Saccharomyces cerevisiae S288C: one gene and its partners. Changing the gene in region 3 together with the main gene of any one other region gives a genetic interaction. Each region holds a gene or a part of one and is shown on either strand. Other genes may lie near its edges.

Region 1 (6,279 bases), on a different chromosome or scaffold from region 3:
CATGCCCACTTTTTAGCATTACTTCAATGATTTGTCTTGTTTGTTGTGATATGAATTCACAGGCACTCAAATACATAACCGCTAAGTCTTCAATTGAGTTATCCATAGATTGTCCTATAATACAAGCGCGCATATTCGGATCTGCTATCGGTGATCGATTACCGTGATAGTCACCATAAAAAAACAAGTGCTTAGCTAAAGAAATAACAGATCTTACTTTGCGCTTCTCGACCAAGGTTTCAAGTATTTTGTTTAAATATTCGAATTTCGACACACCTGCCAAATTAGCCATATGGGATAGCTCAGTGAAAGCTGGATGCGTCGTTATTAAATGATCTAAAAGAACGCCTGTACAGCTTTGGCCGCCTTCTGCCGCCCAAAAGCCTCTTGCAAGGACATCTCTATAAGGCCCCCAAACGCCATGGACAAATATAGGGTTTTTTGATAACAAAATATGACACGTAGACGTACCGGCAACAGCTGCCAATCTGCCAATTGCACCATTGAAATCCTTTTTATAATTTTCGGTCTCGGCAAGACCTTTTACTGCTGATTCCGGCTTGGCGGCTACCGTCCCTACCCAGCCTGCATATGCATCAATAATTCCTGAACTTACTACACAATGCTCTGTCAAGCCTAATTGACAGGCAGCCTTTTTATCTAACGGGCTGATACATTCACCTGCGGTCAGAAAGTTTTTTTTTTCCCTTAACGATCCACCCAGTCTTTCAAAATCATTCTTCGTAAGCTCTGAAAGCCCAATTGAATTTAAGAATTCTTTGGACCAGCCTATATCGGAACCTTCGACACCCACTGGTAGAAATCCCTGCTTACAAACAGCAGAACAAAATGACCTATTCTCTTTTCCCGTGGCTTTGAAAGTCAAGTAATCCGGAAGGTCAAAAAACTTACAATCCTGAAAAATTCCAGCTTCTAAGTTGTTCTTCAACCACTTAATCTTCGGAATTTCCATTTCAACAGACATTTGCCCTCCCACATATTTTAAACATTTATCACCAGATGAGTTGATTTCTTCAGTCTCCTTCATCGCCCTATGGTCCATCCATAATATGATATTCTGGTCATTATTGGTAAAATCCGGTCCAACTGCAATTTCTTCAAAATTGGTAGCGGATACGACTACTAAGGAACAAGTCGCATCAAAACCAATTCCACGAACTCTTTCAGGGTCAACTCCTGATTCTTCAACAACAGTTCTAACACAATAGCAAACTGCATTCCAGATTTCTCTTGAAGACTGAGTAATAAAATTGGATATCAATTGTTCCCTTTTTATGGGTTTTTCTGCTAGCGACAACATGTTACCAGATTGATCGATAACACATGCCCTTGCAGAGCCTGTTCCGACATCTACACCAACGTAGAATTTTGCTTCTGGATCTTGTGGAGAAATGCGAGAAATCGAGGTTTCCTGTGACGACAATACCGCTGGCTCCCGTGTTTCATTTTGCATATTGTTTTGGCGTTTCCTGCTTTTCATATAGCCTTAATAATGTACTTTGCAGATGTTTGTTCCTTCGTCTCTTTACATCTTTTCATTGTACTCAGCGGTCTGGGTGTGCAGCTTTCCACATTTACTAATACTGGTCTGTAGCATTTAGTCAAACGGGTGTTATAAAGGTTCAATTTCTTCATCATACCTAACATTGTGATCGAGGTTTCCAGGAAGAGCTTATATATATCAAAACAAGAAACCCAGAGTATCTTTACCCCCACATTCAATATGAGGTGTCAGCCATAATTATTTACATGATAATACTGATATTTTTTCTTTTTCGCGATATATTGAAAAGAAAAAAAAATTGCGAGGTGATTCCTCATCGCATGTATTCATTTTAACGACATTGAATTAAGCCTTCAGGGGGGAGAACAATTTAACGATTGTGTGAGTGTGAATTTGTGCTGAGGATAACAATGACGAAACCGCGTTACAATGACGTGTTGTTTGATGATGATGACTCGGTACCATCAGAATCAGTTACGAGGAAATCGCAGAGAAGAAAGGCAACGTCACCTGGGGAATCAAGAGAGTCCTCAAAAGATCGTCTACTGATACTTCCCTCTATGGGGGAATCATATACTGAGTACGTAGACTCTTATTTGAACTTAGAATTATTGGAAAGGGGAGAAAGAGAAACACCAATCTTTCTTGAATCTCTGACAAGACAACTAACGCAGAAAATATATGAACTAATAAAAACAAAATCTTTAACTGCAGATACCTTGCAACAAATAAGTGATAAATACGATGGTGTAGTGGCAGAAAACAAGCTGTTATTTTTGCAAAGACAGTATTATGTTGATGATGAAGGAAATGTTAGAGATGGCCGAAATAATGATAAAATATACTGTGAGCCAAAGCATGTATACGACATGGTGATGGCAACACACTTGATGAATAAGCATCTTAGGGGTAAAACATTACATTCCTTTTTATTTTCTCATTTTGCCAATATTAGTCATGCCATCATCGATTGGGTCCAGCAATTTTGTTCAAAATGTAATAAAAAGGGCAAAATTAAACCATTGAAGGAATATAAACGTCCTGACATGTACGATAAACTACTACCAATGGAAAGGATACATATTGAGGTATTCGAACCCTTCAATGGAGAAGCTATTGAGGGAAAATATTCTTATGTCCTTTTATGCCGAGACTATCGCTCTAGTTTTATGTGGTTATTACCACTTAAGAGTACCAAATTCAAACATCTTATCCCAGTTGTTTCCTCACTTTTTTTAACATTTGCTAGGGTTCCAATTTTCGTAACATCAAGCACTTTAGATAAAGATGATCTTTATGATATTTGTGAAGAAATTGCATCAAAATACGGTCTCCGTATTGGCTTGGGTTTGAAGAGTTCTGCGAGATTTCATACTGGGGGTATACTGTGCATTCAGTATGCTCTAAATAGTTATAAGAAGGAATGTCTAGCCGATTGGGGTAAGTGCCTAAGATATGGCCCTTACAGATTCAACCGAAGGAGAAATAAGAGAACGAAACGTAAACCTGTGCAAGTACTACTTAGTGAAGTTCCAGGTCACAATGCCAAGTTTGAGACTAAGAGAGAAAGGGTTATAGAAAACACATATTCCCGTAATATGTTCAAGATGGCAGGTGGAAAAGGTCTTATATATTTGGAAGATGTCAATACTTTTGCCCTTGCTAATGAAGCGGATAATAGCTGTAACAATAATGGAATTCTTCATAATAACAATATAGGAAATGATAACTTTGAAGAAGAAGTGCAAAAACAATTTGATCTAACTGAAAAAAACTATATCGATGAGTATGATGATTTGGCACATGATTCTTCAGAGGGCGAATTTGAACCTAATACCTTAACTCCCGAAGAAAAGCCTCCTCATAATGTCGATGAGGACCGAATAGAGTCCACCGGCGTGGCAGCCCCAATGCAGGGAACAGAAGAGCCTGAAAAAGGGGATCAAAAAGAAAGTGACGGTGCATCACAAGTAGATCAAAGTGTCGAAATAACTAGACCAGAAACTTCCTACTATCAAACTCTGGAATCGCCGTCAACAAAACGACAGAAATTAGACCAACAGGGTAATGGAGATCAAACAAGAGACTTTGGCACATCAATGGAATTGTAATAATATGTAGGATAGAATGAAAGGAGGAGTCACCATAGGTGAAAAAAAAAAGCACCTATTGCATATAAAGTATTCAAAAAGGTGTTGAAAGCTCTTCCTGTATATGACCCTGTATTTAATGTACGCGGTTAAAAAATTTTTATATTTTTAAATAAGTATCAACTTGGATAATATGATCTTGCCCGCAAGGTGGTTTTATATGAATAATTACTTTTTTTTTTTTTTTTTTTTTTTTTTTTTTTTTTTAATTGAACAATAGATGCAGAGGAATGCTCCAAAATTTATTTCCTTGAACAATATTACAAGAGGCAGATATATACTTTTCCTTATTTCCCTTAGTAAAGAATGATGCATGTATACTATTACAAATTTAAACTTCACCCCCACCATGGATGCAAAACAAATAGAAAGCCATTATCATTAGTTTTTTTTTTTCATTCAATTACGATACTTGCTGAAGAAATCTTGATGAAATTCTTTCCAGTCTTGAATCCATTTAGTCCCTGGAGCCAAAAACGTTGTTCGCACATGATAAGTCCCGGGTCTTTGTCCGAACCCAGACCCTGGGACAGTACAAATACCTGTAGATTCTAGCAAAGATGTGCAATAGAACTCATCAGGTTCGATGCCAAGGCGTTCGCTTTCACAAAGAGCTTTCTTAGGTAAAACAAGCCTAGGGAAAAGATACATTGCACCCTGAGGTTTTTGGCATTCGATACCCTCTAGTTCCTTAAACGTCTCGTACAATAAGTTTGCTCTCGTACGCATTTCATGAAAAATTTTCAGCCTTTCGTCATGATCTTGTTCATAGGACTCGTCTCCAGGCTGGGGTGGTTTGACCATTAAATCAACCACAGCTTGTCCTGTGACAACAGAACATATGGATATAGACATGAGTTTGAAAAGAGCATCTCTTATTTCTTGAGAAAACCCAATAATTTCCATGTAACCGCCTCTTTGGCCGCACTCATCCATGAATCCTTTAGAAATGGAGTGTAAAGAGGCGAGCTGAACGTTATCGAATTTTCCTGGATAAAGATGCTGCAATTTTCTTAGGACTTTCTTCATCGAATGAAATTTAACATCGTTGAAAATGTTTTCTTGATAGACCTCATCAGAAATGATTGTAATGCCGTATTTCGCAGCGATCAAACAGATCCTGGCAATGGTTTCTTCAGAAAGAACTGCACCGGTTGGGTTACCTGGATTAATAACTATCAGCACAGATGGTCTGATCTGTTTTTTCAAAGCATCTTGCACTACTTTTTCAATTTCGTCGCTGTTTGTAGACCAATTTGACTCCTCATCTAAGTAGTATGGCAGCACTTGTGCATTGAAAAGAGATGCGGATGCAGTATAAAGCGGATACTGCGGAATTGGAATCAGCAGGCCTGTTTGAGAATCTTTACACAATAAAGATAACAAAGAAGTTGCCGCGGACGAAGCGCCAGTGGTTAAATAAATATCTTCCGGTGTAGCGGGCTCACCGCCGTCTCTTCTAGTAATGAAGTCAGCAACTGTTTGCCTTATTCCTGGCACACCTTGAGAATGCGAATATGCCCCTATAGAACCGCCAATATCATTCAAGAGGCGCTCAGCTCTTTCCAAGGCGTCCCTGGAAAACAAGTTCAAAGAAGCCAGTTCATTATGGCCTACTCGTAAAATTTCCGGGTACTCCAGGATGGCCAGTACTTGCCTGGTAAAGGTCAAAGGCTTCTGATCCAGTTGCTGCGGATTACCAATGTTCGCATTGATAATATCATCGAAAGGCAAAACTTCTGGGTTTTTTTTCAATTCCTCTTTTAGCTCGTCAGCTCTGGTTGGAATAGCTCCTCTTACAGCATATTCTGCCTTAGTGACACCTGTATTCAAATCTTTTTTAGTAATCTTGCCAGCGGGCTTAAAATCCAAATCCTTTGCGGTGAACACACCTTTCAAATCCTGTTGGTGTGTCATTGTCATGTGTTCTTACTTCTTCTGTGTTTACCACTTACAAAAACAACACTACTGTGGCGCTCCTTCCCTTTATTCTTATCTTTTATGCCTCTAGAGATATGAGGAAATATTGGGGTATTTACTGAATGAGAAAAGGATGATGTCAGTCAAGAAAGGATCAAAAAGAAAAGTGAACAGAATATAGTTCCCACACGAAGTAGTAAATTTAGCTATCCTAAAAGTGTATTGGTAATTTGAAGAGATATGTAGATGTACATATGGGACCATAAGAGTAGGAAAAATAAAATAAAATCGCCAAACAAGTAGGAGAAGCCTCAAGATACAAGCCGTTTCCATGGAGAAAATATTGCGAATGAGGCCAAACTTGAACTTTTTTTTTTTCTGCTAAAAAATTCAGAAAAAAAATGAAATTATTTTCTTAGGTATAATGAAGTAATTATGACGAAGTACTTTGAGAACCCATAAAGAGAAGCAATTGAAGACGTGTGGAGGACATCAGCCCGCAGCACATTAGTAGAAACAATAGTATCGTGATGTGATCCCTCTTGGACCCTTTGCCAATCAAGGGTGAAGCGAAGCCATTTAAAACGTACGAACAATGGCGGTAGTTGAGGTATGGGTGAGGCCGCAGATTAAATCCCGGCGGCAGGAGCAACCGCTTTTAACCAGAATTGTATGTTATAAAGT
Region 2 (7,350 bases), on a different chromosome or scaffold from region 3:
AAAAATATGAGCAGGATCTCCGCACCTTTTAAAAAAGGTTGAAAGGGCTTAAAAAACTGAAAGACTAAAACCTTTTTTTCGAGGCATAGGAAGCCTAGAGTACTTCGGGTAGACGATATAACAATGCAATAAAAATAGTATATTAATAAACATACGAAAAAAGGTTAATATATTCATTAATAATGTACTGATGGTAATTAATATACCGCAGAGTCTTGAAACTCGGCGGGTAAAAATTCTATATCCCATAAGGTCCATCAGGTGACTTTTTGTGATACTGTGTTATTGTTACTTTAAATTGGTTAATTATTCAATCAATTTCCAGTGATACAGTAGAAAACAAAGTCAAAGAATCGCAGTACCCGCTGGTCACGCCAAAAAAATAAAGCTTAATGTTCTTTTAGTCAACATATTCACTCAAAGATTGCATGATCACCATCAGAATGTGTGAGTAGGTTAGGCTGAACGGCAGTAGGAGCAATTACGTATGTTAGTAAATGGAAGGAGACCAGCATTATGGTTTATCTTATTTGGTCTTCCGTACACAAATAGTAGTGAATGTATGGTAAACATGCATGCGATGACTTAACTAAGGATTTACTGGTGTTGGATCAAATTTAATCTCTGCATGTATAGGCTATTCAATAATCATGAGGCGTTAAAGGATAGTTTACTTATCATTTTTCCTTCTTGAAGCATTTTCCCAGAGCTGATAGATATATTGAAGTAGTACTTATATACCTTTCAACTGATGCATGTGAATGCCTGCTTGGAACATCGGGAATAAGAATTATAGTAACAATACCAATTTCTCCAGCGGATTTGTCTATTTTCTTGGTACTTCATGCAAGGTGCATCCTTTTTCTCTTGAAATTCATTCTGAATGGCCATAACTGCCAATGTTCACCATTCCTAAAGACGACGTGTTTATCACTCCTAGTTGCTTGGAAGTTAGACAACATGAGGAATAATAACCTCAAGAGATTAAAAAATGCAAGTAACTATATTACATATTTATTATGCACACTTTGCCTTGCCACTTGTGTAATAGACCTGGGTTCTTGCCGAGGTGATATGCTCTTTAATAAAAGATCACCTCAATTCAAGACTAAAAATGGCGAGGTATAAATCTGCGTCGCTAACATGTACAATATTTTAATGTATACTCTCGCATATTTATATTTTCGTTTTTCACGGCTTTAATTAGCGTACGTGGTTTCTGATTTTTGCTTGAGTAATGCACTATTTATTAAGATAGCCGCCCAGGTTAAATTCTTGAATTACAACTACATGTCAGAGACGAACGAAAGAGAGAAATCAAGACGATGCAACAAAGATCAAATAGGAGAAGCTGCTCCTATATACCACTCGGGGTACATAATAATGCCGAAAAGAGCTTGTGCACCGAAGTTGCTCCAGCAAGAAAGAACAAAAGGTCTATTACGACTTCTCCCATAGTCAACATCAACGTTGTAGAAAGAAGACTGTTTAATTTGGAATTGGAAAAACAACAACTTCGTGCCAAAAATCTGTCTGAGAACACAGGTGGCGGAAGCCCCAATGGGGGTGCTTATCTGGACGCCAAAAAAGGAGTAAGAGAACAAGATCAATACCAAGGAGGTCCCTCGAAAGAGCTTGACAGGCTACAACCACCACCTTCAATGAAGAAAAGCCCTCCAAGGAAGAAGAAGAGCCTAAAGGACTTGATATATGAAACGAACAAGACATTCTATCAGGTGGATTCTAACAAGGTTAAATATAAGGTAGGTCTATCCAAGAAACAGCTATTACCATCCAAAACGGTAGACAACTAAGTTCAAAGAGGAGAACGTTTGAAAAAGAGTTCGGTGGCCCTCCACTTTTTTCAACGTGCAAAAGTTGTCCACAACTTACTTATCATTAGGCTAAAATTACAATTTATATCTTACGTATCCTTTATCTAATTTGCGACTGTAAACATAAATTTAGGATAATATTAGGAGAGACAGAGGGAACCGCAACTTTACTTCGTTTTCGATTGAGATAAAGTAGGTTGCTCGTCGATGGGCGCTTCGTCTGATAAACTTTCCAACCCATCATAAAGTGTTTTCCACAAATCAGAAACTGACTGGAATTCTCTTCCCACAGCTATCGAGCTCTCCAATGATATATTGAGACCATTCAGACCATTCAAGATTGAATTCATAGTCTCATTGATCTCCTGCAATACTATATTCCTCTGCTCGATGAAGTATTTGTCAGTGGTTGATATCAACTTTTCTTCATCATTGGATGTACTAGCCATCATATGTACATATATCCTCACACGTCCGAGCTCTTCATCAGTCCTATTCCTACGCTAATTACTACCTCCTCTTGTTAAAGGTGACTGTTTATTCCCTTTGTTATTTTCGCGGCCTTGACTTTTACCCGGAGGTGGCCCTTTCCGCTCAATGGTTCTAGTGATCGCCTATAACCGTGTAGTCATATTCATACACGTACAAATTCGTTTGTCTTTTCATATATATAGTTATATATGCTATGCTCGTTTGTGTATTTATTGGATTATGCAATCAAAATAATGATAGTTACGAATAGATAAATGCATTTACGGACTGAAATAAGCGCAGCTAAAAGAATATTCATTAGTTCTATCCTTTCTTTTCAATCACTAACTTGAGCATCGTCATTGTATCTTGGTTCAGCGTCGAAAATAAGCTCGTATTTTCTCCATTTTTGTCTTAGTTTACTATTTGGATCATTATACATTTCTTCGTCTTCTTTGTCAAATTCATCTAACCAATCCCACTTACTGTTGAAGTTGATTTTCGAACCGGTGGCGGAGGTGAAACTATTCGAATCTGCTTCTTCGCTAATCATATCATTCATCTCTACTTCATCGAAAATTAACGGCATATCAGAAGTCAGATAATTCCAGATTAATAACAGATAAAACCTCAAGCTCTTCACACCTCGTAAGAACCCTTTATCTTCTATATTTGGCGATTTTGGGGGTATACGAAATTTATCCATACATTCCATTGCATCTTCTTTAGTAACACAACGTGCAAAATCGATCAAGTTGACTTTAACATTAGCAGCTTTTTTCCTTTTAGAATTTGATTTATTAGCATCTCCATCGTACATTAGTAATAAAGACGCGCCATATAGCCTGTAACCTTTCAAATTAAAAATTTCAGAATACAAAGTATCTAGTTGCTTGATCAACCTTGGAATTTGCCTGATTAAACTTTCAATGGTCTTACCATCATACAAAAAACGTGCAAGTACCCTAGCAAATTGCCAACCAACCTTAACCCTTCTACCAAAGTATTTATCTCTTGTGATATAATAATCTTTGTTCCAAACCTTTAATCCGCAGATTCTAACGCCTAAACGCCTAGAAGTGGTCTTTAAACACTTTGCACGCTGTGACAGTTGCTTGGCTCTTTTGGCGTCTACGCCATATTGTCTTGTCCCCATCTTTAGATCCAGTGCACAAGGCTTGTTCATGTTTCTTGTCAAATCTTCCAATAAGATAAATTTTGAAACAATGGTGTGGGACGTCTCCTCAAACGTAATTGATTCAATATCATGATGACTATAGTCATTTGAAACATTATACGCCAATGACTTTATAATCATGTTTTTACCAGAGTCAAGATGGCAGCCGTGGTTATCCATATTTATAGTTTCGTTTCCCGTATCTTCATCCATATCAAAAACACCATCTTGTGCGTTGCTGATATAATTCGGGGAGGTGGCAAATTCGCCATCATCTCTAGAATTGGTTGCAGTGAGAATGGGTGATAAAGAGTTGCAGAAAGAGTTTTTATGTTTTATTTGTTCGTTTTTGTGGAATTGCTTCAAATCCATTACTGAATGCGAGCCATCTAAAGCATTAGATATTTTTTCATGAAGCGATTTTTTCAAGAAAGGATCCTGCAAATTCGGATTGACTTTCGAGTCATCCATCTGTAAACTCGCTTGTGACGATGAATCACCAAGAGTCTTCATAGACGTATTCGATGCATCATGGGACGAGGCTCTTGATTTTTGTGTTAAAAAAGATGGACTGGAACCCAAACGCGCATTATGGTTTCCCATTGTAGTCGTATTAGAGTTTCTTTTCCTTCTAAAACATTTCGGTGCAAATACTTCCCTTATGACTAGGTTCTTCAATTCAGTATTGATCATGGTGGACCCAGAATCGCGTCTTTTTAATTTATTTGTATTGCCACGCTCACCGAACGAACATGAGTTATGAGAAGAGGAGGACGAAAAGTACGAATCATTCGGTGCCGAGTTTGGAGAATCGGAATATTTGTACCACAGAGATTCCGGTATAATATGCCTGTTATCATTTAATACAACCTCGGGCAACAAGGAAGGTTGGTTGGAACTTGACAGTGATCTTTTCACGTGTGGATGGACAGACTCAATTTCAGGATGCTCTTTTTCAAGTACTTGTCTCGACGAATGTTCCAAGGGGAAGGAATGTATGTGTGTTAAGGGGGTCCCCGTGGGTTCTGTATTAAGCGCAATATCGTCGTTATTGTTATGATTGACTTCTATGTCTTTGTTTTCATTACTGGTATCATTTTTACCGTTGTTTTCTTGATCCAAATCGCTTAAAAAGTCATCTTTTGACTGAAAATGTTGCCTAACATTCAGGACACCAATATAACGTGGCATGAATTGCAATAATTCTTTATGGCACAGCTCTATATTCTCATACCACCTGTTTTCTCTATTCACTAGAGCCTTACAAACCGCTCTCTTCGAAAATCTGAATATTGCAGTGTGACCTCCAACTCTATTCGTAAATGGTTTTAGTTCAACTGCTAGGGGATATTCCCTATGTTCATTATCACCTTCATCCTCTTCTTCGTCCGCTTGCTCGCCTTCTTTATCTTGTTCAAACGTATTGGGTTTTTCTTTAATTGATTCGCTATGTGGCACAAACTGTTGAGGTTTTTTTTCGTTACTACGATTGTTGACGTTTTCTTGCCTTAGGGATTGTGATAAAGTTGAATATGTCTTAACTTTGAAAGTATGTCGGTTATATGAACTAGGAAGTGTCGCTATACCAGAGGCACAATTTATGGTGGCAGGCTGAATAGTATCAATATCATTTTCCATTTTATCCTTTTCTTCATAACCAGAATCTGCTTTACTTTTGTGAGGATAGTATGTTGCAGAAGAAACAGGCTTTAACGTTAAGTCCTCCGATATTCCATGTAAGCTCTCCTGATAAGTGGACTTAGGCGAAATACATCCCTCATCAACATTCTGAATTGGCTTTAAAGAAGTCTGGTGGTGTAACACCTGTGGTTGGTGTGATTGTTGTTTTGCGATATCCTCACCAGAGCCTTGACCTGTCTCAGTAATATTATTTCTATGCGCCACGTGTTTATTGGGCTTAATTGCCGGCTCCTCGTGGTTAGATAAAATGAAACTTGACAATGAAGAGGACAAAGTATCTGGGTTATTCTTTTTTTCAGAAACTTGTAGTCCTTCTGGTACCGATTTGGGAGTTGCTTCTGACCTTGTTATTTTGTCCGCGCATGTCACGGACCCGCCATTATTGCTATCTACACCATTGTTGTTATCGGCTAAACATTCATCATCTCTAAAAATTCTTAAATATGTACTCGCCTTTCTGCCATGTAAGACGGAGGAAAGTTTCTTCGTCTCAGGTACATTAAGATCTTTCAATGTTGTTATGCACCCTTCCGACTCTTTTTGGCGCAAATGCTGCTGCTGCTCTCTTAATGTATCGGGTATTTTATCATGAATTTCGTGAGAGGTATCCATAGTCTTTTAGCTTTAGTTTTATATATACAAAAAATAAAAAAAAGATTTGAGAAGACAGAAAGATGTACAAAATGAAAGAAAGAAGACAAAAGACAATTCTAATATAATAAGGTCAAACTGGGATTTTCCCTTTTGTTGGAGATATAATCCAACCAACAGAGACAAACAAGAACAGAAAAGTGTTTTTCGTCTTGATCCTGTATTGAAAAAAAAAAAAAAAAGCGATACGGCGCGAAGTTGAGGGGCCGGCGACACTTCTGCGATGAGTTCGAAAGAAGTGTTAATAATTTTTATGAAAGCAACTATTACTTATATATTTGTAACTTTACCGTTGTGGATGGCTAAGCTAAGTGGAAATAATATATGAAATACAGGTTTAATTATGTTTGGTTTAAGGTTAAATCAATGATTTTTTTTCATCACAAATACAAGAATAAGAAAAGCGAAGAACCCGTAATATGAAAGGATACGGGGTGTCAATGTTTCGTGCTGAAATCCAGTCGTTTGTGTCGTAACAACGATGGATTGGTTGTCATTTTTAGCATTACTTTTAAATTGGCCTGTGTTGTAGTAGTCTTCTAGCAGTTGATCTTTTTCTTTCCACACGCCCAGTAACCAATTGAAAAAAACTTCGTCATCTTGCAAAGGGATCTCATTAACTCTAAATTCCCTAATATAAAAATCTACTTTCTCCGGATAGACACCCATTAAGAATATTTTCTTCAAGGTGAATTTGGTGCCGACGTATTCCGTTCTCAAGGCGGGAGAATATCCAATAGTGACATCGTAGATAGCATCTAAACTAGGAGCTAGTTTTTCTACTGCAAACTTCAAGCCTTTAGAGTGCGGTAATAACAAATGTCTTAATTGGACATGGTCCAAATGTGCTCTTTGACAGAATGCCTCGCTTTTTTCTCTTGTCTTGAGGCTTAGATTTGTACCCTCAGGGAACATGATTAAATTATAAGCGGCAATGGATTCATTTGTCTTGGAATAACAACTCTTATAATTTGTAAGGGGCCCCTTGCACCTCGCGTTTAAGTCCATAGAAACCAAACTATTTGTTAAAGCTTTCTCATCCTTTTGCCAGTTCCTACTTAAAAATATAAACTTAAAATTTCGCATGCCAAATCCCAGTAATGGTATGTACTGCAGAGCTTTCTTCAGGATGATATAAACGTTACCACCCAAATTTGAAACAAAGGAAAGCCACCAGAGATAAATCCAGTCTGCATACATTTGATGATTTGCAATTATTATAGCCCTGTCTTTAAATCTAAAGCATGGCTTGGCGTTAGAAGAGTTCTTCAATGGCCGCGATGTTTCAAAAGTGACATTCAAAGAAGAGGGAGCCACCATGTTCAAGATCATGCATAATAAAACGATAAAAGCCTTCTTACTTTGATTTATACCATTTTGAAATCTAATCTTGCTCCAAGGGAGAAGCACCTGTAGACAGATCTGAAAAACGACAATACTCAGCGAGCCTGAAATGAACAAGCAAGCGATAAGCAGCCTTTGCAACCCTTTTATAAAGGGATTACCAGTCTTTTC
Region 3 (7,892 bases):
TAAGGTATAAACACACTATATATTAATATATCATTCCATTAGTACATTTATAACGCAGTATGTACAGGTGCCATACGTACAGTACTATTGTATTAATGATCCCATTTAACATTCAGTTATGTAAACGTTTTTCGTAGGAATGTAAGTTATTAACACCACCTTCTAGTTGAGCAGAAGCGGTTCTGAATTCAAATCTAACTTTACCGCTTTGGACATTTTCCTTTAGTAAAGTTAACGACCTACAGCCGATGTCTTGACAAGAATGTTGTAATCCATTGTACAAGTACGGAATAAATTTCTTAATGGATCCTTTGTCAACGACAGCGCCAGAGACACCTTGTGCGACCAAAACACTGTCTGATTCGGAAAAGTAACGGGAGGTAGATGCATTACCTTTGGTACCAGTCTTTTGCATGGCGTCAATGGAGCCCATACCACGATACGCCTTCAATCTTTTACCATCTTGATAGAGATATTCACCTGGTGATTCGGTAGTACCGGCCAACATACCACCCATCATAACAGTAGAAGAACCAAGAGCCAAAGCTTTGGTAATAATATGACCAATGTTTTTGAACACCACCATCAGCCATACATGGAACACCGAATTGGTTAGCAAATTCACACACGTTGTAGACGGCTGTACCTTGTGGCCTACCACAAGCCATAACTTTTTGGGTAATACAAATAGAGCCAGTTCCCATACCAATTCTCAAACCGTCCGCACCGGCAGCAATCAAATTGGCAGCTTGTTCCTTGGTGACAACGTTACCAGCAATGATTTCCAAATCTGGGAAAGTTTCTTTAATCCATTTGATCATGTTCAATTGGAAAATAGAGTTACCTTGAGAGGAATCCAATATGACGACATCCAAGCCAGCTTTTACCAATAATCTTAGTCTTTCTTTATCAGCGTCCATAGTCCCAATAGAAGCACCCCATAACAGTTGCTTGGTGTTGGCAGATTTGGACGCTAATGGGTACTTCTGATTTTTCATTAAATCAGTTCGGGAAAGCATAGAAACTAAGTTACCCTTTTCATCAACAACCAGTAGCCTACCCTTTTTGATTTTCTTTAGAATTTCGTTACCTTCTGATAATGTGATACCTTGTGCGCCGGTAACAGGGTTTTTGGTCATGACATCCTGAACGAGTAAAGAGTTGTCCTCAACGAATTGTATATCACGAGAGGTGATGGCACCCACCAACTTTGCATTTCTCTTTCCATCTGCCGTGACAGGGAAGCCTGCAAATCCATACTTTTCCTTCATGCTCTTAGCTTCACCAACGGTCGTAGTTGGAGAAATCACTATAGGGTTGTTAATAAACCCATTTTCATAGTTCTTGACTCTTCTGACCATGTCAGCTTGGTCCTCTGGAGTACAGTTATGGTGAATGAAACCGATACCATCCAACAGAGCCATAAAAGTGGCCATTTCAGATTCCGTCACAGTGTCCATTGGAGAGGATACTAATGGAATGTTTAAAGTAATATTCCTGGTTAGCTTGGTCTGTAGGCTAACTTCAGAGGACGCAAAATCGACTAAACCTGGTAAGATTAAAAAATCGTTATAAGCCAACCCACCTCTGATCTTGGAGTCCATCAGTTCCTGCACTGACAAACCATCCGGTCTTGGTAGGCTCTTGGTAAGATCTAGTGCGGTCTTGTAGTCTCTAATGGCGGCCATTGCTTTCGCTACTTGTGGAGTTATTAATTGCACATATTATATTTGATTCTTTTAATTTGTAATAAACAAAATGCGTCTATGACAGTTAAAAAGTATTTTTGAAATTGGTTATATAAAAAATGATAAGAAAAGTAAGGCAAGGAATAGAATAGAATACGGAAAAAAAGTTCCCAGCATACTAGGTAAAATGTACTAGCCCACGAAACTGAGAAAAAGCCGCCAAGGGTCTCCGGTTAAATGTTCGGCAAGAAATTTCCATTCGAATTTTTTTCTAAATGTTAAATGGGAAAAGACTCCACTATTTATACTTTTTTTTTTGTTTTTTCCGCTTTCTTCGAGAAGAAGAGATGCGCGGGGTACCTGCGCGGCGCGGCGGTTAGGAAAACCAATAATCTTGAATAAAAAGCAATGTAGAGAACAGACATGGTAGTATATGTACTTATACGGATGTTATTATATAATACTGCGGTCAACCGATCATTTACAGATCATGAGCCACTATATCATCCTACAACATCCGCTTAGTCAATCAATTGCCCTTTTCTTTCACTTCATACTTTTACTCTAGCATCATCTTTAAACGATATTATCATGTACTTGCCCTGACACAATATTAAAACATTGTACCACCTCATGTAAAGGGCATGTCGTGTCTATTGCATTAAATGATGGCGTTGCATATTTCTTATACATATACTCCTATCCTGGTTTTGCTAAAGAATGATAGAGTAATCACATACTGCGCCTTTGTGCTTACCTCTTTGGACTGTGATCGTCATTGCAATTTCGTATTTCTTGCCAGCAAAAGTGAAAAAAAAAAAAAAAAATAAATCGGTATTCATAATTAGTTTCTAAAATTACATAATCATATTATCTATTTACTGTTTTAATAAAGTGTCGTTGTAGTGCTTGGTATTCCAGTCCCAGAAAAAGGTCAATTCAGTAGAGTTACTGACGCTGCTGACGTTACAGACCTTTAGGAAGTCAGTACCGGCTACTCTCTTTTCAGCATAGTCGTAGAAGTCATTTATTTCACAGGAGAACCCTGGACCAGTAGAACAGGTTTCAATTGGAACGACAGCATCGTTGATGACGTATCTAACATAGGTGTCATTGGAACACTGGAACTTTTCAGTGTAAACACGAGCACCTTGTGGAACGTACCAGGATCTGTGGAAAGTGTTTTCCATGAATGGAACATGTTCGGCGGTCAAGTTATTTTTGTCATCGATTATGCCGATAGTGGTCAAATAGTTCAGAATATCGGTATCGTGGGTGAAACTCAACCAAACCTTTTGGTCCTGGACCTCACTTTCCTTTAGTAGTTTCACTGAAGCGTTGAACAAGTTGGCACCGACGGATCTGACGACGTCATAGCCTGGTCCCGTTTGATAATAAGTTTCCAAGTCTTGGCCGTAGGAGAAACGGACCAATTCATCTTTGGTGAAGATGTTACAGATGTCACTGTAACCTCTAGCGTTTATTTCATATGCACACCATGCAAAAAAAGTGTTTGCATCACTTGAAGTCAGATTCAAACCCTTGTTTTCCTTGTTTAATCTCTTGGCAATACCACTCAAATATTTGGTATCATATTTTTTCAAAATGTCATCGTTGACATCATCGTCCCAAGCAGGACACGAATGGTGGGCACTCAGAGTATTGGCACCAGCAGACTCGGCTTCACTGATGGTTTGCAAGGATATGTTGAATTTATCACCCAAACCGTCAATGAAATACTGGGCAGTATCATGACATCTGTTCGAGTTAGACGTAAAAACGGCAAAACTGGTTTGGTTTTCGACCATGTAGCCATATTGCGCCAAGAAATCACGAGCGTGTCTCTTAGCATTCATCTCACCGGTATATGGGTTCAAAACATTGACCGAATTGGCAAGTGTGGTTTCCATTTCTAGGTTTTTGGTGTCACGAATGAAAAATTCGTAGTCATCGTTCAAGAAAGACAATGCTCCGCTGAATTGACCGGTATAGTTACTCAATTTGTACCATGTTGTCATGATACTTTTGGCTTTGCTGACAGTGGGGTATCTTTCACCGTGTCTACCAACCATTTGCACTTGCTTCATTTCACAACTTTCCGGCAAATCACGAGAAATACCATAATCACCAGGGAAAGAGTAGTATGGCCCAGAACCACCCAAAAATGGGAAAATTTCCGTTTGAGTTCCGATTTTGTCAATGTCAGATAACTTTCCGAGGGGTATGGTACCTGCATTAACCAAAGAAGCGGCTAAAATTGAATAAACGGCTGACTTCAACATTGGTATTTCTGATGATGTTCTTGCTCTCTTTGCTGTTGTTGTTCCTCTTCTTCTTCTTCTTCTTCCTACTTTACAACCAAGGCGAAACTGAGCTTGAATCTATCGAAATGTAAGAGCTTATATACGTTTTACTTGGCAATTCGACGCTGTTTATGCTCATTCCAAAACGGGTATAACATATCTGGTGAGATGACCAATTTGGCAATGTGACGTGCGGAATATGGAATCTCTCCGGTAAACAGGGTCTGAAATTCTGTGTAATTTGCCTTTTTAAACCCACGTGTGAACGCCAAGATTGTGCGGCTTCGTTTAGGGATGTGTTCTGTTTTCTATTAACTTTTTACTCTTTCCTTCCTATTTCTTTTTTTTTTTTTTTTTTAGTACACATGAACTACAGAATGTTATGCGAAAACGTGGTAATTTAATAAATACGTGACACAGCGTATAAGAAAAAGCTTATCAAGGTTATCTCTGTCATTAAAACTTTATTAGACACCCACGATGAATGAAACGATGAAAGTAGATATAAGAAGTAGTCGGAAGTGAGAAAGAGAAAATGATAAAAGAACGAAAAAATCCCTTTATTTTCTCATCTTGATGTATAAAATAACTACTATATATTTGTGGCAGAAATCATACCTTTCATTTTTCATCGGCATAGATAATCTTGATTGTTTCACCTTAATACGCTTTTTTCAATGTCGTTTACAAAACAAGCTAGGTTTGCAAGATATCCTGGACTTTTTTTGTAATCTATGTGGCCACAGTATGGTTCGCACTTGCAACATGGTAGAGGCTGCCCAAAAACAAAACCGCATCACCTTTGGCAGCATTTACGTGAAACTCCATCCTCTTGTCAAACTTTGCACAGGAATCGTGTGGGCCCCACGAGTGTGAACCAGTAATTACATGTGCGGCTCTATTGGCATTGTTCATATCTGTAAAAGCAACTCCTGCTCCCAGTACCGTTTCTTTCCGTATTGGAAACGGTCACAGCACCGGTCTTGTAGACAATACCCGAGTTTAGCTAAATGTCACTTGGGCACTTTCTAATGACATTTCCAGCCAAAAGAAGTAATTTTGCTCATTTAAAAAAATAGTTTGCCATATCACAAAACAGTCGGTCGGATAATATCTCCTTCCAACAGTAGGAGAATGGAGGACCACACCCTTGTGGCCATCGTTGTTTTCTTTGGGAATGGTGAACCTTTCCATGTGTCGTTGTCTGTAGAAATGGTGTTCGTGCTGCTTCTTTCATCCACTAGAATTCATGAGGTAGTAGTTCTTATATGTTATAAACTTCAACACGCCACCTGGTCTTGGGGTAATATGAGCAAGAATTTCTCTCTTAAACCGGATATAAGTCTGAGCTTTCTGTTGGATATAATTTCTATAAATGATATATGCATCTACGGTTGCATTGCCCTTACAGTTGTGTTTATTTTATAAATCTACGTTTAGTATAAGAAAATTGTATTGTCGAGTCTTAGCTGAGTTCATATTTATTCAAAAAATTGGCCTAAATGTTATGTCTCTTTCTCGATCCATGAATTATTAGCAACACCGAGAATTGCAGCAGTGATGCTTCACATTAATGCATGTTCCTCCCTGTTGCCTTTTGGTAAAGTCATGGGCATATGATTACTCCGGGCGTCGCGCGGCTGAAGGCGTCTAAAATAAAATGTTCAAAAATGATATTAACTTTCTTATATATCTTAGACCTGCTATTTCTTTCTTCTTTTTTTTTATTTTGTATTCAATTGGTTTTCACTTTCTCGAAACGCAAGGCTTAAATAAATCAAGGACAGATTCGATAGCTTCTTTTGGGACAGTCAGCTCTTCAGAGGTAATTGCATGACTTCATGATTCGCGGAATACGAAATGAAAAGGGAGGTCCGTTTGAGGTAACTCAGTTCTTTACGAATCACATGCAATATTCAGGGTAAAAATCCAAGTTATCTAATTTTTTTTAAACTACCTTTTTCTTTTGTACATCACGTTTCACTATATATTCTACTACATCTATTTTCGGCCCAAAACTACAGCATTTGCAGAAACAAAACGACGCTTTCTGTTCCTGCTGATAGTATTCATGACACATTCCATATTGCATGTTGCATTTAAAACGAAGGGCCAAGCCATGGTCATGTGATTTCCATGTGCGGCAACTTCAAGACTTCTTCTTTTGGGCATAGGAAGACATTAAAAATATTATTTATGCATTATTCTTATGTCGGCTAATAGATTCAAAGAAACCCACGAAAAATTTACCGACCGCGCGAAATAAAAGTAAATGAAAAAAAAAAAAAAAAAAAAAAAAAAAAAAAAAAAAGAAGAATGTGTCTATCTTCATAATGGTGCCTTCGCTAAACCATCTTTTCTGACGCTTTATAGTTCGAACACAGCATTCTTCAACCGCGTAAAGTTAAAATCACTTGAATGTTTACACTGACGTTTATATATTAAAATACTTTCTACTTAGTTATTTTTAGGAAAGTACGGTTACGCACTCATTTTAAAAAAAAGCAAGGATGAAAATACCTGCCAAAGTACTTAAAGCATTGGTTCTCAAACCAGCAGCCATACCTTCGGATTGAACGACAATACCAGTGAAGGTGCTGGAAGCAGCAGTATGAGAAGTTGGAGCAGCAGACTTGGTGACTGTGCTAGTGGCCAATGATGTTTGTTTGGAAGCCTCGGAAGTGACAGTCTTGGTGTTACAGCCGTTGTCGTCACAGTGAGTAACGGTAACAGTAGTGTATGATTTTGGAGAAATGGTGGTTGCTGCAGTTTCTTTAGAACATTCAGAAGTGACAGTCTTGGTGTTACAGCCATTGTTGTCACAGTGAGTAACAGTAACAGTGGTGTATGACTTGGAGGAAACGGTTGCAGTTGCGTCGGTAGCAGTTGGTGCTGGAACATGGCATCCGTTTTCGTCACAAGATGTGATGGTGGCAGTGGTAGATGAGCATGGGACAGTTGTGGTAATGGTGTAAATGTTACCGCTAGCGTCGGTTGTTTCTGAACAGGAAACCACGACTGTACTTGTGGCATTCAAGTAAGTTAATGTAGTAGTGTAGACAGAAGCGGAACCTGAGGTGAAGCTGGTGGCGGATGCAGCGGATGCAGTAGAAGTAGTGGAAGCGGTGGAAGCAGTAGAAGCGATTGAACCAGATGCTGTAGTGGAGTTTGAGACACCAGAGATAGAGGCGCTAGATGAAGGAATTATTGAGTCTGGGGCGCTAGAAGAGATCGTAGAAGAGACGGTGGTAGAAGCGTTAGAGGATAAAGTGACTGAACCAGTGGCAGTAGAGACAACACCAGAGGTAGTGGATGCGGATGTGGATGCGGCGCTTGTAGCGATGACACCGTCATAGTTTAGGTAATATGAGTAGGCGCCTGCGAAGATTCCTTCGGAGACACTGAAGCCAGAACTAGAGAATCCAGTACCAATTTCAAAAGAGAATTGTCTGTTACCTTGGGTTGCAGTTAAGACACCAGTAGTACCGTCGTAAGAAAGAGCAGTGATGTCGGCGGTAATGGCAATTTGGTTCTTACCGGTGTAGCCAACAACAGGAATAGGAGTGGCGTTGGTTTCGGTTGGGTCAACGGCAAGAACACCTTCACCCTTGAATACAACAGTTTGGCCAGTAAAGGTGTCAGGGTAGTGCAAGTATAGGTTACCAGAGACGATGTTGATTGTACCGTTTCCAGAAACTGGTTCAACGATAACATAGGTACTTCCATTGTCTAGGTTGATTTCACCGTTATTTACAGAGCCTTCATCGTCGTCTCTACGTTACAAACCGGAAACAGAACCACCGTTGAGAATAGCATTTGACAAAGAAAAGGTACCAGCGTTAGAGTATGGAGAAAAGGTGACTTCACCCTTCTTGGCCTTTGACAAACTCAAAGAAATGTC

Evidence for each region.
Region 1: of PHO11 (region 3) and FOB1, changing one suppresses a phenotype caused by changing the other (phenotypic suppression), as found in Saccharomyces cerevisiae (one study listed by BioGRID).
Region 2: of PHO11 (region 3) and KCS1, changing one suppresses a phenotype caused by changing the other (phenotypic suppression), as found in Saccharomyces cerevisiae (one study listed by BioGRID).

The regions. Positions count from the first base shown.
Region 1 is NC_001136.10:674,167-680,445, forward strand, and holds FOB1 (replication fork barrier binding protein FOB1), read left to right. Parts: upstream 1-1,935; coding exon 1,936-3,636; downstream 3,637-6,279. Other genes in the region: YDR109C (putative phosphotransferase), read right to left, coding at 1-1,501; alanine transaminase ALT2, read right to left, coding at 4,075-5,598.
Region 2 is NC_001136.10:476,472-483,821, forward strand, and holds KCS1 (inositol polyphosphate kinase KCS1), read right to left. Parts: upstream 5,797-7,350; coding exon 2,644-5,796; downstream 1-2,643. Other genes in the region: HED1 (Hed1p), read left to right, coding at 1,326-1,814; DAD1 (Dad1p), read right to left, coding at 2,003-2,287; MLG1 (putative acyltransferase), read right to left, coding at 6,199-7,350. UniProt on the Saccharomyces cerevisiae protein: Converts inositol hexakisphosphate (InsP6) to diphosphoinositol pentakisphosphate (InsP7/PP-InsP5). Involved in phosphate regulation and polyphosphate accumulation.
Region 3 is NC_001133.9:221,538-229,429, reverse strand, and holds PHO11 (acid phosphatase PHO11), read right to left. Parts: upstream 3,971-7,892; coding exon 2,567-3,970; downstream 1-2,566. Other genes in the region: YAR068W (uncharacterized protein), read right to left, coding at 6,539-7,024; YAR066W (uncharacterized protein), read right to left, coding at 7,770-7,892.